Rattus norvegicus: one gene and its partners. The protein of the gene in region 3 purifies or fractionates together with the protein of the main gene of each other region. This does not show direct contact. Links are inferred from orthologs where the notes say so. Each region holds a gene or a part of one and is shown on either strand. Other genes may lie near its edges. The genes, in order: Arf6, Ect2, Kif23 and Racgap1.

What was found.
Region 1: the proteins of Kif23 (region 3) and Arf6 purify together in Homo sapiens (affinity purification with western blotting; 3 studies listed by BioGRID and IntAct, with this or other methods). This does not show direct contact. The link is inferred for Rattus norvegicus from reciprocal best matches to the Homo sapiens genes KIF23 and ARF6.
Region 2: the proteins of Kif23 (region 3) and Ect2 purify together in Homo sapiens (co-immunoprecipitation; 3 studies listed by BioGRID and IntAct, with this or other methods). This does not show direct contact. The link is inferred for Rattus norvegicus from reciprocal best matches to the Homo sapiens genes KIF23 and ECT2.
Region 4: the proteins of Kif23 (region 3) and Racgap1 purify together in Homo sapiens (co-immunoprecipitation; 10 studies listed by BioGRID and IntAct, counting the BioPlex papers as one, with this or other methods). This does not show direct contact. The link is inferred for Rattus norvegicus from reciprocal best matches to the Homo sapiens genes KIF23 and RACGAP1.

The regions. Positions count from the first base shown.
Region 1 is NC_086024.1:93,588,544-93,591,459, forward strand, and holds Arf6 (ADP-ribosylation factor 6), read left to right. Parts: upstream 1-1,233; 5' UTR 1,234-1,385; coding exon 1,386-1,913; 3' UTR 1,914-2,382; downstream 2,383-2,916. UniProt on the Homo sapiens protein: GTP-binding protein involved in protein trafficking that regulates endocytic recycling and cytoskeleton remodeling. GTP-bound form plays an important role in the transport of multiple palmitoylated proteins form the Golgi to the plasma membrane.
Region 2 is NC_086020.1:111,963,783-111,967,950, reverse strand, and holds the start of Ect2 (protein ECT2), read left to right. Parts: upstream 1-1,324; 5' UTR 1,325-1,450; exon of another isoform or gene 1,451-1,542; intron 1,543-1,583; exon of another isoform or gene 1,584-2,004; intron 2,005-4,168. UniProt on the Homo sapiens protein: Guanine nucleotide exchange factor (GEF) that catalyzes the exchange of GDP for GTP. Promotes guanine nucleotide exchange on the Rho family members of small GTPases, like RHOA, RHOC, RAC1 and CDC42.
Region 3 is NC_086026.1:71,317,627-71,321,982, reverse strand, and holds the start of Kif23 (kinesin-like protein KIF23), read left to right. Parts: upstream 1-1,494; coding exon 1,495-1,505; intron 1,506-2,734; coding exon 2,735-2,804; exon of another isoform or gene 2,805-2,809; intron 2,810-3,892; coding exon 3,893-4,021; intron 4,022-4,356.
Region 4 is NC_086025.1:132,656,931-132,661,225, reverse strand, and holds the start of Racgap1 (rac GTPase-activating protein 1), read left to right. Parts: upstream 1-1,487; 5' UTR 1,488-1,664; intron 1,665-4,295.

The DNA of each region.
Region 1 (2,916 bases), on a different chromosome or scaffold from region 3:
TGTGCACACGCACACTAAATGAAAAAAGTATTTGAAAATAAAAACAAAACTCAAATAGTTTCCTTATGGTGCGTGGAGATCTGAAGTCAATTTGAGGGAGTTGGTTCTCTCCTTCCACCATACGGGTTCTGGGGACTGAACACGGGTCCGCCCTCTCGGCGGCAGGCTTCACGCACACAGCCATCTCGTCGGTCCTGAAAGTCTATTTCCTAAGAAGTGCGGGTGGTTCAGACTTACAAAGAGGACAAGTTTAAACTTTCACAGGCAGGGCTTAGGGGCAAACCCAACACGAGTAAAAGTGCGGGCGACTTTGGCGGATTCTATGGAACACTGGCCTCCCACGTGTCTTTCAGGAAACAGAAGGAAGTCGGGAGGCGTCGGAGTAAAAAGGAGACCCGGGTGCGGAAGGCTGGGGCGAGCGGGAGGAACTTTGCGCAGGGTGTCCGGGAGCAAACCTGGGAAGCCTGGGTGGGGGCGTTGAACACCCAGTGGATTTTTGCCCCGCCTTCCAGTGGCGGAGAAGGGAAAACAGCGGAGACCCTGGGAGAGCGACAGGTGGGCGTACGGCCAGCCCCGCTCCAGCAGGTTCCGCAAGGCGTCCGCGTGAGCCCCCCGAGCCGCCGTAGCCCCACCCCCGGCGCGTGGCGCTCGTGACGCTAGGCGCGCGGGCCACTCTCCTTTCAGAGGTCGCGCTCTTCCGAACGGTCGGGCTGAGGTGCGCGTGCGCAGTCGGGAGGGGAAGTGAGGCGGTTTCCTCGGCGCCTTTTCCGGCAGCGGCGGCAGCAGAACTGGGGAGGAGGAGGTGGAGGCCGGAGGGAACCCGCGCTTGGGGCGGCGGCTGGAGGTAATCTCAAGGGCCGAGCCCGAAAGGCGGGCCGGGTCGGTCTCAGCACCGTCGGAGTCCCGGCGGTAACTCCCTTCTCCCTCTCTGTGTCTCTGCAGGTAGCACCGAGTTCCCGCGAGGATCCATGACCTGACGGGGCGCAGAGCCGCGCTCTTCGTCGGGTGACCAGGGTTGGTGCGGAGCCCGGTGCTCGCAGGCCGGCGGGAGGGCCGCAGTTTGACCTGCCGCGTGCTGAGGCGGCGGAGGAGCTGTCGGCGGCGCTCGCGCGGCGCCTGCGGGGGGAAGGGCAGTTCCGGGCCGGCCGCGCCTCGCCTCAGCAGGGCGGCGGCTCTCCCGGCGCAGACGCAGGGCCCCGGCGGCGGGCGATGCCCGAGTGAGCGCAGGCCGGGCCCCTGCCCCTAGCAGGCAGCTTCGCGCAAGCCGGGCCGCAGGGCGTCCTCGCGGCGGGGCGGCTACTTTTCGGGCTCGCAGCGGCGGCGGCGTTGTAGGCTGAGGGGACCCGGGACACCTGAATGCCCCCGGCCCCGGCTCTTCCGACGCGATGGGGAAGGTGCTATCCAAGATCTTCGGGAACAAGGAAATGCGGATCCTCATGCTGGGCCTGGACGCAGCCGGCAAGACAACGATCCTGTACAAGTTGAAGCTGGGCCAGTCTGTGACCACCATTCCCACGGTGGGTTTCAACGTGGAGACGGTGACTTACAAAAACGTCAAGTTCAACGTGTGGGATGTGGGCGGCCAGGACAAGATCCGGCCGCTCTGGCGGCATTACTACACCGGGACCCAGGGTCTGATCTTCGTGGTAGACTGCGCCGACCGCGACCGCATCGATGAGGCCCGCCAGGAGCTGCACCGCATTATCAATGACCGGGAGATGAGGGACGCCATAATCCTCATCTTCGCCAACAAGCAGGACCTGCCTGATGCCATGAAACCCCATGAGATCCAGGAGAAACTGGGCCTGACCCGGATTCGGGACAGGAACTGGTATGTGCAGCCCTCCTGTGCCACCTCCGGGGACGGACTCTATGAGGGGCTCACATGGTTAACCTCTAACTACAAATCCTAATGAGCGCCCTCCACCCAGCCCCCGGAAGGAGAGAAATCAAAAACCCATTCATAGGATTATCGCCACCATCATCACCTCTTTCAATTGCCACTCTCTTTTTTGAAACTGAACTCGAGTTACTGTTCTACCGTTTAGTGGGGTTGGGGGTTTTCTTTGTTCCCCTTACCCCCCCTCTTCTATTTCCTTTCGGCTTTGCGTTAGGATGCTCTGATCTGACATTTGACACGAATACAGTGCTATATGCTCTTGTGACTTCCAGCAAACGGGGTGGGGTAATAGCAACTCTTGGTAAAGTCCTTTATAATAATGGTTTTGATTTTTTTTTTTTATTTCGAGAGAATCTCCCCCCATGTATGCCTTTTTCCTTTTTGCCCAGTTTCTTATCACTTGCTGTAGATGGCTTATTTTGCATTCATGCAGACTATGTTCCAAGTCTGTTTCATCTAGTAAACTGAAAATTATTGCTTAATCAAACTGCCGTTTGTCTTTTATATTTAAGGCCTTCCCTCCCTTCCTTGTTAGCTCTAACTTTAGCAGTTTCAAATGTGACCTTTTATAGCCAAGACCAGTATGGTGAACTTAGCCCATAGTGGCAAAATGAGTAATACCAGTGTAATGTTCAGTTGCACACCAGTGTGTCAGATAGGTAATGTAAGGAATCCCTTGAAGTCAGCCATTAACGTGCATGAGTAGGAGTAAGGCTCAAGTCCCCTTTGCCATAGCTAACTTTACCGACTAAAACAAGCAGAGCCTGTAAAGGGTACAGGTCCTTCTCCCTGCAAAGTTAGCAACTTTGCTGATTCCCTCTTATGGATAAAAATGCTCTTTCCAGAAAGTGGAGCAATAATGGTGTATGCCACACAGATGAAGTATTTGTAGATACTTTAAAGTGACTTTTGGGCAAAACTGGAACTGTCTTAAGACCAGTAGTTTTAAAATTACTAAACATTTACTTGGCTCACTAATAAAATATTTAAAAAGCCAAATTACATGCACCTTTAAC
Region 2 (4,168 bases), on a different chromosome or scaffold from region 3:
GGAATGCCAGACACACCCAAGCTTAAACTGCAAACACACTCCCGTTGGCAATTTCAAGGCTGATTTTTTTCCCTCTTTCTTCCGCTCTAATGGCTAATTCTAGAGACTGTCAGGCCATAGATAATGTTAAGCAGAAAACAAAACAAAACAAAAACAACCAACCAGACAAAGACTGTAGACTGTTTTACTCATTCTATGAACTCGCCATACACTTGTCAAGCTCCTAAGGTTGTCAAGAAGTTCTTTTTGTTTTTAAAGTAGATCTTGGGCTGGTGGGTTGGCTCAGTGGTTAAAAGCACTTCTTACTCTCACAGAGGACCTGGGTTTAATTCCCAGCATCCACATGGTGGTTCATAATCCTCTAATTTCAGTCCCTGGGAATGGATCTGGCCTCCTCCTTACCTCCAAGCACTCACAAGATGCACACACACACACACATCCAGGGAAAATAATACAGACACATATAATTAATAAATCTAAATTTAAAAGGTGGTTTTAAAACCTCTTATTGAGGTTTGGGGCGTAGCAACAGATCCAACCACTTGGTAGGGTTCGGTTTTGAAAGTAAAAAAATAACTGTTTTGAGACAGGGTCTCCTGTGCAGACCAGGCAGATCTTGTTCTCCACTTCCAGCGCCATCCTCCTTAGTAAGTGGGGTCACAGGATTTGAAACCACACCCAGCTAGAAGTGTATGTTTAAGAGATTGTATTATAGAACATTACATCTAGAAACAATTTTCAGAATAGAAATATCGAAAAAAAAAACCTGATCATTTCTTTTCTAGACTTCAAAGGTCACTAACATTCTTATGCTGGGGATTGGAGGTGGGGCCTGGGGAGAAGGAGCAAGCCACCCAGAAGCAATTTTGCATCAGGGGATTCTAAAATCTCCTTACACTTTTTTTTTTTTAGTTACTTAGATGCAAGCTTGTCTCCAAATATAAAATCTGGGAAGTGGTAAGAGCCGAATGGTTTGCGGTGCTTGTTACTTTTCTTGAAGTTGGAGGTGATGGTAGAGACTGAGCCTCGGGAAACTGGCTGTTTACTGAGTAAACAAGCGGTCACCACAGAAACACCTGCTACGTCTAGAGGCGCTCCGAGGCCACGCCCCCCTCTCGCCCACATCCGGGCATTTCGCTGACGTCCACACGCTCCAGCCGTTTAGCTTATTTGAAACACACGCATAGCCAATCAGCCGGCGCCTCCTGGAGGCGGTCGTTGAGATTGACCAATAAGCAGTCCGCCAGAGACTCCAGCCTATCAAAAGGAGGTTGACAAAGCGCGCCAATCAGCATGGCTCTGAGAGAGAGCGTCTGGGTTTTTTGAATCGGAGGCGGTAGCCTCCTTCGAGCCATGGCGGCCCCAGTGAGGAGACTCAGTGTTTGAGAAGGTTAAGCGAGGACTGCGCCGCAGTGGTTCATTTTTCTTTTTTTTAAAATATCTGAACGTGGTGAGGACTGCGGGGTGAGTGGGGGACGGGAAGGGATTCGAGTGCCCGGAACTGCACCGGCCGTGGGGACCAAGGCCGGCGTCCCCGCCGCGGTGAGCCCCCACGGCTGCGTACCTGTCTGTACCGCTCCCTTTCATCCTCTTCCCTCACATCCGCCTCCTTTCCTGTCGTCTGTTCTGGCCCCGGTTTTTCCTTGCGGGAATCTGGGTTCTATTCTGCTTCTGTCAGGCGCCCCAGGGTGAAGGGCGCAGTTGGGACAGCGATTTTGGCTTCCTGCTTGCCCTTCCGCCCGCTCGCTGCAGCCCAGAGCTGCCCTGATTGTTTTGTGGTTTCCCTCTGGAATTCCTGCAGAATTCCGATTTTCGATTTTTTTAAAATATAAAACACAGGCCGCTCCGCCCCTTCCTGGCCACAGATGTGTGTGGTTAGTGGTTAACTTAGCGCCCTCAGAGTTAGACCCGGCTTGGAGTCTCTGTGTGAACAACTTTCTTAGCCACAAACTGGATATGGCAATGATATTTGTCTTTTAGGATGGCTGCAAAGGTTAAATAATGGTAAGGGGGAGATTTAAGATAGTGGCTGTAAAATAGTGAGCTTTAAGTAAATGAAATCGCTAATTAACACCATTATCAACGTATTCAAAACTATTGTAGTTTTGTCTCTTTACTCTGGATGACTTTTTTATGGAAAAAAAGTTTATTTAAAAGAAAAGCTAAAAATGACTTTATTTAAAAGAATCCATGTGTTGTGAGACAGGGTCTTAGGTATTCCAGAATAGGCTTGAATTGTGGAGCCAATGGTGACATAAAACTCCACCTGCCTCTACCTCCTCCCCGATGTACTTTCACCTTGCTTGGTTTTGAGGTGCCCGAGGATGACCTCATGCATGCTACGCTGAGGCACATTCCAAGACAAAGATGTGTTCTTTTTATGATCAGATTGTTGTGTTTATTTTTAAAAAGCCTCTAGAATGTGTGAAAAGGAAGAAACTGGTGCATTTCAGTTTGCAGTGATGTTGGGTGCTAGATGTATCATTAGTGTGCCCTGTAGCTCTTTTGCTGTATATTTTGAAAATAGATAATAATATGCATTTTCACTGTTTTGGTGCATAGTGAGAAAGGGTTTAGTTGTGTACTCCTGCCTGTTGTGTGGGTGCTGGAACTTTAGGCTTGTGCCACTAGGCAACACATTATCAGTCAACTGGCAATTTTAAAGAGGGTCATGTAAGCTGAAGTATTGTTGAAAGTGCATTGTAAAGCTCTGGCACGTAGTTTACACATAAGTATAGACTCTTATTTTGACTTTTTTTTGGTGGGGGGCGGTCTGGGAGATTGAACTCTGAATCTTTCCAGGCTTTACCACTAAACTCCACCTCCAGCCCTAGTCTATTTTAGTACATTTATACCCCTGTAATGCTTAGGTCAAGGTCATGCCCATATCACTGTAAGCATTTATCCTTTTACTGGAGATGTTCAAAGTCCTTTCTACTAACCTTTAAGTTAGGAATTGGAGTTTCTTAGGTGACGTTTTAGTCTAGATTAAGCAGTGTTCTACTGACCATTTCATTAATTATTTTTGGCTTTTTTGAGACGAAGTTTCATGTGACTCCTCCAGCTCCTGTGGTCCTTTTGATTTGTTAAAATCTCTGATCCTATCTTGGCTTTGTGAACATTTAATCCCAATTCTCAGGAGTGTTGGCACAGGAGGATTGACCATGAGTTTCCTAGCAGCTTGGAGTGCAGAATGAAATCAGGCCAGCAAGGATTTCGAGATCCTGTCTCAAAGGAACATGGGTCAATCAAATCAAATTCCCCTCCAGTCCTTAAAGCTGAGCAGCTCACCCTTTCTCCCTTTTTCCTTCTCCTCACCAGCCTCTTGTAAAATTAATTACTTAACTTTTTAAAAAAGATTTATTTACTTATTATATATAAGTACACTGTAGCTGTTTTCAGACACACCAGAAGAGGTCATTGGATTCCATTACAGATGGTTGTGAGCCACCATGTGGTTGTTGGGAATTGTACTGAGGACCTCTGGAAGTGCAGTCAGTGCTCTTAACTGCTGAGCGTCTCTCCAGCCCTTAATTAACTTTTAAAATTAATTTACATCTCAACCACAATATCCCTCCTTCCTCTTCTCCCAGGCCTTCTCCCACCCTATCCACTCCTCCCTTTCTCTTCTGAAAAGCGGAGGCCTCCCATGGATATCAACTGACCAAATCAAGTTGTAGCAAGACTAGACAACTAGAGGAAAGGTTCTCAAAGGCAGCAGCAGTCAGATAGCCCATGATTCCCCTATCCCCCTTTTTGAACCAGGGTCTTATTCTGAGTTTTGGGGTAAAAGGTGTGTACCGTACTGGACTCACTCTCTTATTCTGTAACACAGACTGGCCTCTAATTCACAGTAATCCTCTTGCCTTAAGGCCTTCTTAGATGATGTTTACTACCATGTTTAGCTTTTTCCTTTTTTTAAAAAAAAATTTTTTTTTAAAGATGTGTTTATTTATAATACATTGTAGCTGTCTTCAAACCCACCAGAAGAGGGCATCAGATCTCATTACAGATGGTTGTGAGCCATCATGTGGGTGCTGGGATTTGAACTCAGGACCTCTGGAAGGACAGTCAGTGCTCTTAACCACTGAGCCATCTCTCCAGCCCTGGCTTTTTCCTTTTTTTCTTTTTCTTTTTAAAAATCGTATTTGTTTCCTTTAAAAAACAT
Region 3 (4,356 bases):
TGCCATCTAGCGAGGCTGAGGGGGAATACGCTGGGAGAGGACTCAGTAAACAGGCTGTGCCGACTGCTGAAATCAACAGCCCAGCGAGGCAGGGGCTCCAGGACCCAGTGAAGGTGAGGCTTTCACAGAGGGAAGGAAGACTGAGAGACAGAAGAGAGACCTCAGTGTGGGGGCAGATACGTTTCAAGCGCGTGCTTTGGGTTTTGGACAGGTGATAGGTGACACAATGGAGAAGGAAGACTAGCCTCAGGGTCTCACTGAGGGTCTCAAGACCGGTGATTTATAGGTGAGAGTGCTGTCAAATGGAGCAGTTTTGAAAGGTGGTGGTGGCAAAGACTGTTAGCTTTTTATCTGCTTCTGGAAATGTAAAAGGATGCATTTTCAGGTTTATTCATTGTAGCACTTTGTGACAGTAAATATTGGAAAGACTATTGTCCAGTAATAAGGACATTAAACTGTGGATATTAAACTATCCTTATTAGTGCTGGCCCTAAAGGAAGTTCTAAGTGGAGCCTGAGTCACAGAACGCAGGTGTGGTGGATACGTCCTCGAGATCTTCAGCATGGGTCAGGGATTAAGAAAGACAGAATCAATTTGCGGAAGACAAGAGGTAGATTTTGGTGGTTGTACAAGGACAGTGGGTAGATTTTAGTCACCTCTGTATATCCAGGAAACATCAAAATCAAGAATTTGAAGGTTAAGGATGTGTAGCTTAGTGACTTTTACCTAGCATTGTGAGGCTTTAGGTTTGATCCCCAGCACCAGGAGAGAGAGAGAGAGAGAGAGAGAGAGAGAGAGAGAGAGAGAGAGAGAGAGAGAGAGAGAACCCAGAGAAGGGAACTTACAAAAGGTTGACTGCCAAGTTGGTATAGTCTTCAAGAACATCCTGGGGAACTACACTGTAAGTTTGAGGCCAGCCTGGACTACAAGAGACCCTCGTCTCAAAATAAACATCAAAAGTAAGGTAAAATGTAAATGTAGAATAAAATGTAAACGTAGAATTAAATGTAAAAATAAAATATAAAATACAGTAAAATGAATAAGACGAGGTGGTGGCCTGAAAGTCAACCGGCCAGCCTGATAGTAGAACATTCCCGATCACGACTTCCTTAGAGATTCTCTGGACAAAGGCAGGGAGACCTCAGTTTCTGCGTCAGAACGGAAGGGCCGGGATTTCCCCTCTTGGTTTCTCTCGAGCACTACCCTCCTCAGCCTCCTGCTAGTTTCCTGGGTTGCCAAGGAGACGAGCGCCCCTGCTGGCGGTGCCAAGGCTCCCCGAGGCCCCGCCTCTTCGCCGCAGGCGGTCGCTGATTGGCCTGTTTGAAATGCGCCGGGCGGGCGCACACTTGGGCTTGCAGCGTCGCCGCCGGGCTCTCTTCAGATTGAGTCCGGGTCCCCGCGGCCGCAGCCTCCACGGCTTAGTTCCCGCCAGCCCTGCTCCGGTCGGAGCCCGACGTCCCGCGCGCGCGTCAGGACAGCACGGAGACTGCGGTCATGAAGTCGGCGTGAGTACCAGGAGGGGACTATTGGGAGGACTGGGCGGGGGTTGCCGCCCTCCTCACGCGGAGACTGGGGGCTGCCTGGGAGCTGAGTCGGTACGTGTAGGCCGGAGCTCCGTACTCTGCGCAGAGCTCTGGTGGCTGCTGATCCCGGTGTGCCCGCGCCCGCACAGTCCTCTCAGCCCGCGAAGGCTGACTCCGAATTCGGGGCTGTCTGCCACCACCTCCTCGGCTTGCCATCCTTTGGGCTGACCATCCTTCCCCAGCTTCCTTCCTCCCGGCCCGCTGTGCAGGTGGCAAGTCTAGGGACCCCGGGGAGCGCGCAGCCTGGGTGCGCGTTGGAGGGGTTGAGTCTCCATATCTCCGTCGGCATCCCTTCCCTAGTTCCTGGAGGTCAGGGTCCTTCTGCAGCTCAGTTACCTTGGGCTATCTTTGTCCCCAGGCCATCCCACTCGTCTGCTCTATCTCGCCCACGCCCACATTCCTCTGTAATTCCTAGACACTTCAGAGAGCCATATCCTGGTTACACTTTTACTGCAAAGGAGGGCTGGCTTTAGAAATCGTTACTTTCACACGCACACACACAAAAAAACCGGAACTTTTTAAATGAGGAATCGTCAAAGTCTTTATATTTATTTAAGGATATCTACCCCAGTATATCGCCCAACTCTGGTCTACTTCTGTTTTACGTGTGACTCTATTGAGAAAAATACTTAAATAATCTACAGTCTGAACGAATCTTTTGGTTTAATTTGTGTTACATATTCTTGTAGCCTATAAATGAGAAAGAAAAAAGTTAAATGATAGAGAATGTTGAAGTAAATCAAAATGCTTTTTTATATTGTCTACTTAAAATAGCAAGGGATTTCAGCATTGTGAATAATCTACTCTTCCTGCCCAGCAGGAGCAAATCTCTGAATTTGCTCTCCAACATTAAAAAAAAAAAATGAAATCAAAAAAAAGTTCCCCTGGATACTTCTGGTATCGAAAGTATATTTTCCCAATCACAATTTTAATGAGTTAGATTACATATGCCACATTTCTCTAATACAGCTTATTATTGTTTATATTCATGTTATTTGATGTGCAGTATTTTGGTACTGCTGGGAAATGTTTTTTTAAAGCCTAAGAAGTTCATCATTGTTAGAATTCATGATGTCTTCTATGTTAGTAGTGAATTGAAATTTATGGGGTTTTTTTTTCTTTTTTTTTTTTTTCTTTTTCTTTTTAACCAGGAAGGCTAAGATGCCCAGGAAACCTGTAATAAAAAAAGGATCTCAGACAAACCTTAAAGATCCAGTGGGGGTAAGGTGTGTGTGTGTTCGTGTGTTTGTGTGTTTGTTCTTTCTTTAGTTCATCCTACCTTGTGTGTGCTTGAAAGGGGAGGAAAATGATATGAAAGTTGGGTTAAGGAGCACAGTTAAATCGAGCACTAAGTTGTATAAAGCTGATTTTAGCTAGAAAGTTTGCTTTCTCTACAGGATTAACTGGCCTGGAAAAAGGAACTCTTTAGTTGTTGACTGCAAATCTGCTATCACTAATTAGATTTGAAAAGTTAATGATCTCTCCCACCAGGTTCTACTCTTTGGGATAGGGTGGGGATGGGGACTTTCTTCTCAGGTCTTAAACCCTCTCCCACCTGTATGTGGTAACTGACACATTCTCAAGGAGAACCCCATACTCAAGGTTCAGAGAGACTAGTGTAGAATAACTCAATTTAGGTAATCCCTCTTCCTGGAAAAGGGGAAGTTCTGGATACCACCACCCCACTGCTGGGGCAGAGTGGCTCTGGTTCCCAGTTGCACCATCTGCTGTGAGCACAGCTGGACAGGTTTTCCTCACATGAGCTCCTCTACCCTCCAGGTGCTTGATTACAGATGTGTGCTCCCATGCACACCTGAGCTGGCTATTTGACATGGCATCCAGCTGTAAAGAATTTAATGGCCTTTTCAGCTATTTTCAGAGATTTTTTACGTTATTACAATTTTATTTGTGCACACCAGTGAAAAGATGAGCAGTTTAATATTTTAACCTAAGTTTAATTTGATTTAATGAATCTTTGCATTTGACCATTCTGAACTCTAGATCTTGGTTTTGGTGACTCTGGGATTTGTTTGTGCTGAAGATCAGATATTTGTAGGTGACTGAACAGAACATAAATGGAAAGTGAGTGAGTGCTAAACATTCACAGAGGAGCATGCCTGCAGCCCCGACATCCTGGAGACCAGCAGGCAGACTGCTGAGAGCTCCAGCCCAGCTTGGGCTATAGACTGAGAACCTGTGTCTCAATAGGCAAAACAAACAGAAAAGAAAAACAAAACAAAACAACAACAACAACAACAACAACAAAACAGGCGAAGAGTCAACCTGGTTTGAACACTCTCTCTTCCCAGGTGTACTGTAGGGTGCGCCCACTGAGCTTTCCTGACCAAGAGTGCTGTGTGGAAGTGGTCAATAGTACAACCGTGCAGCTCCACACCCCTGAGGGCTATCGACTCAACAGAAATGGAGACTACAAGGAGGTAGGTTCTTAGTGGAACCAAGTTGTTTTCTGTTTTTGAATTTAAAAAGTTCATGTGTGATCTCATTTGTGGGAAGGAATACTTTAGTCACCTCATCTTTCATTTCTAGGGCATACAGATAGACTCTTGGTATGTTGGAATTAGCAGGTTGCTTTTAGGGGCTTTTTTTTCTTTTCTTTTCTGTCTGTTTCTCTCTGTCTGTCTGTCTGTCTGTCTGTCTATTTGAGACAGGGTCTTACTGTGTAGCCCTGGCTGTCCTGAAACTCTATATAGACTAGGCTGGCTTGGAGCTCACGGAGATGTGTTTGCCTCTGTCTTCTTAACCTCTTAGTGGT
Region 4 (4,295 bases), on a different chromosome or scaffold from region 3:
AAAGATAAGGTAACTCCCACGGGGTGGGGAGTGGGGTGGAAGGGGAGCTAGTGTTTATAGCAAAACCACAGAGACAGGCAGCATAGACTCCTTTGAAGAAAGCAGTTAAAAAAAAAATTCAAGCTGCCCAAAGGACAGATAAAACTTAGTCAGATGGAGGTGAGGGAAGGGGCTGGAAGAGTGTCTGGGGCAGATGGGACTGCAAGAGTAAAGCTCTGGATGCTAGGTGTCACTTGGTGCACTTCAGGACCTGTAAACAAGATGGAGGGCAGTTAGGGAGCAGGGAAGCACAGGTTAGGGGAGCCATTAAGGACCCCATCTTTTTTTTAAGGAGGGGAGGTGAAGTGATTAATGGTTTTCAGCAAGGAAAAGCCACGGTTAGAGCTGCTTTTTTGTTTGTTTGTTTGTTTGTTTGGTCTGGAGCTAAAGTAGCAGAGGCTGGTCTTGATCTCTCAGCCTCCACTCCTTAAGTGCTGGCGATTATGGGTGTGTGCCACCACACCCACACAGAACTGCCTTTTAAAATACCAACTGTTGTAAAGAGCTCAAGGGCACAGCTCCCCTGGTGGTTTGAGAACTGAGGCAGACTAGGCTGGCCTTGAGTTTACAGACATCTGCCTGCCTCTGCTGTGCTGGGCTTAAAGGCATATGCCTGGCTCACCCTTTCTAGTAAGCTCTAGCCAGCCAGTATTTTGTCAAATTGCAGGTAGCCACACCTTCCAGTAATTAGTAAATTCAGGAAGGAAGGGACTCCAACACAGAGAAATAACAACAACAACAAAAGAACAGAAACATCGGGAGTACACTAATAGATTAAGATGAATGGTTGTATATTGAGTGCATTTCTGATGTTGGGCCCAGATCTTTAAAAGTTTCAAAGCCTCTGTACCAATACAATGCCAAATTTTAAGTGCCATTTATTAAATGGAATTATAACACTTCATTCTGCACTTCTATTTGTTTTCTTGAGCTGTCTCACCCATTCATAGCTACTGGAAAGCAGAGACCACATGATCTGTATTTTTTTCTGATCTCTAGCAGAGTGCTTGCTATGAAGTTGGCATACTTACTGTGCATCAAATAGAAGTCTGAATGGATGCGTGAGTGAATGGGGGGGATAATTATAGCTCAGTAAATATGGTTAAAATGATTGTTGCTCTGTCTCCTTCTGGAATTCTTCCTATTCTACAGTGAGACCCGAAACTATTCGGTTATTAGTTTCCAAGAGTCCTATTTGTCTGCCTGGGGAAACATGGAGGCAAGAATAATATGCAATTAGTCAACAGGTCATTAGAATAATTGCAAGAAAGGGAGCCGTAGCCGGAGCCTGGAGCGGGAGTCCTACACAGGCCATGAAACACCCACTACTCCCGCAAAAGTGTGCCCACAGTCAAAATGGCCGTCTTTCGGCGTCTCGCTAATGTAATGCGCACGCTCTTCCCGTTTTGCGCCCGCCCCCTGGCCCTAACACGTGCGTCGCCCAGAGCATGATCTCCTCTGTGATTGGCTGCTGCGCGATTTTGAACCGGATCCGGCGGCGCGGTTTTACACTGCCGTTAGTGAGGCGCGCAGCTGGTGGACAGCAGCCCTCCTGGGGCGCGGCGGCCGGAGAGTAAGCGCCGCGGGCCGAACAGGGTTGCGTGTGCGCGGGGCCGGGAGCCTCGGTAAGCGGGTCGAGGCCGCGAGCGGGCGGCGGAGGGAGGAGGGGGGCATCTGGAGGGGTCTGCTCTCGGCGTGGGGCTGCGCGTTAAGTCGGGAGCGTCCTTTTGAGGCGTGGCCCGACGGGTGCGGGTGTGGTTCCCTCAAGGTGGTCTTGGCGAACTCTAGTGCGGGACGTGGGAGTGGCCGGGAGCGAGCCCCTCTCACCCTTTTCCGAGGAGCAGTCTCTTCTGCGGGAGAAGTCAGGTGTTTGAGGAACCTGGCGGCCTACAGTGGAGAGCCTCTACCTTCTTGGCTGTCTCCCACAAGGCTAATTAGAACATCCCTATATGTGGAGAGCTAGAATGCTGCAAATGCGGAGCCTATCTTTTTCAGCCCTCCTTTTAATAATAATTTATCACCTATTTCTGCCACTGACCTAGCTACCGTTCTGCGATTAGCATGGGAAACCCTTTGGGGGTGTATTACTTTATATTAACAGCCTCCACCCACAGAAAAGCTACGACTGTAATCTGGCAAGCCTCGGAAACCTTCTTGAAGCGCCCACCAAAGTTTTTTTAAGCGTTCCTTGATTTATGACTGTTCTTAACTATAAAACTTAATGAGAATGATTATATCAGAACATGGTATTTATTTAGGTAACCTGGATTCATGGTCACGAGCCAGGGTCACTTATATTTGGCTCAGGAAGGAACACTCATTTCTCTTGGGATGAGAACTTTGTTTTTGTGCCTCAGAAAGAGAGGGAGGGAGAGAGAGGGAGAGACGGACTGCAGTACTCCCAATAGTGTATTGGAGGGTTATTGGAGTTACTGTTCTATCACACTCTGTGTGTGTGTGTGTGTGTGTGTGTGTGTGTGTGAGAGAGAGAGAGAGAGAGAGAGACAGACAGACAGACACACACACACACACACACACACACACACACACACACGGTGTCTTATGTAGCCCAGGTTGGTCTGAGACACACACACACACACACACACACACACACACACACACACACACACACACACGGTGTCTTATGTAGCCCAGGTTGGCCTCTTGTATCCAAGGATAACCCCGAACCTCTGATCCGCCTGTCCCTGGAGTGTTGGGATTACAGGACAATTTGGAGATGACACGTGTGATCCACCATTCTCAGTATTTGCTGTGTTGAGGACAGAAACCAGGGGCTTGTCACTCTAGGCAGGCATGGTGTCAGCTAAGGTATAGGCCAGCACAATGGTACATTTAAGTTCAAGTAAGATTCTTCTACTAACCCTTAAGAAACTGTTGACTGCACATCAGGCTGCTGGGGTGCAGTAAAGATGGGGACTCTTGTGCTGTTAGACCTCAGTGCTGTCTGCTGACCAGCTTAGCTTCTGGGTTGATGAAAGGTAGTTATTTTTTGGTTTGTCTTTTTTTTTTTCCCCCCTGGAACTCAGAGATCTGCCTGTCTCTATGTCTCCCAAGCTTTGGGATTAAAGATGTCTGCCACCATTCCCCTTGGTAAAAGGTAATTAATTCAGGCCAAAATTTCATCTGATAGCAGCAAGGAGGTGGCTGGTGCATTAGTGGGGTAAAGAGATGACTGAGATAGTTTGGCTGCAGATCTAACTCTCCACAAATACACAATAAATCCCTCCCACCCACCCAGCTGAGGACCCAGTGCTAGGCAAGCTCTCTACCACTGAGCTAAATCCCCAACCTGCCTTATAGAATTCTTAACATTGGCTTTTTTCCCCTGGCTTTTTTCAGTTGACAAAAATTTCTACTCAATATAATAGCCTTGCTATATTATTTTGGCTGGCTTCTGTGTGAGGGTGTCAGATCCCCTGGGGATGGAGCTACAGACAGTTGTGAGCTGCCATGCCAGTGCTGGGAATTGAACTCAAGTCCTCTGAAACAGCAGCCAGTGCCCTTAACCACTGAGTCATCTCTTCGGCCCCCCTCCCCGCCAATATAAGGTTTTTATACCGTGCTACATTAATCAAAAACCTGTCGTTGCAAGGACTCACCTTTGAACCTGAGGAAGAAAACTGGCCATGAGGAGGCTCACTCAGTGAGTGTCAGGTCACCTACCAAGCATTGGTAGTGGGCAGTGTTCTAGATACCAGTGGCTCTGCTAAGTCCTTGCTTTCCAGACAGTAAGTAAACATGTTAGGTGGAGACAAGCACTCTGGAGCAGAATAAACCAGGAGTTACAGAAAAGGCTGAATTTAAAAGTGTGGCTGGTGGAGACTTCATTGAGAAGTAAATTCCCAGGGGTCAGGGAGAAGGGGACGGAATGGGATGGGTGACTGCCCATGCTAGAGACTTCTGGCAGAGGGTAACTGAAAAACTGAATCCAAAGAGAACGAGTAGACCAATGGTAGCCCATCGACTCTGTGATGCTTGCTCAGTGCAAACAAGATGCTAACAATCAAAAACTGTGTGCCCCGAGCGAGAGTGTGGTGGGCACAGGGCTGGATGAGGGGGATGAGGTTTGTGTTTTGAGGCAGTGTTTTATGTCTGCCTAAGTTGAAGTCATTAGGAAAAGGCTTCAGTGACTGCTAAGGCAGACTCTGGGTAGGCCTCACAGGAGACAGCAGCAGTGTGCCGAACTTACCTGTCACATCCAGTTCTCCTTCACTCTGGCCTTGACTCTTATTGAG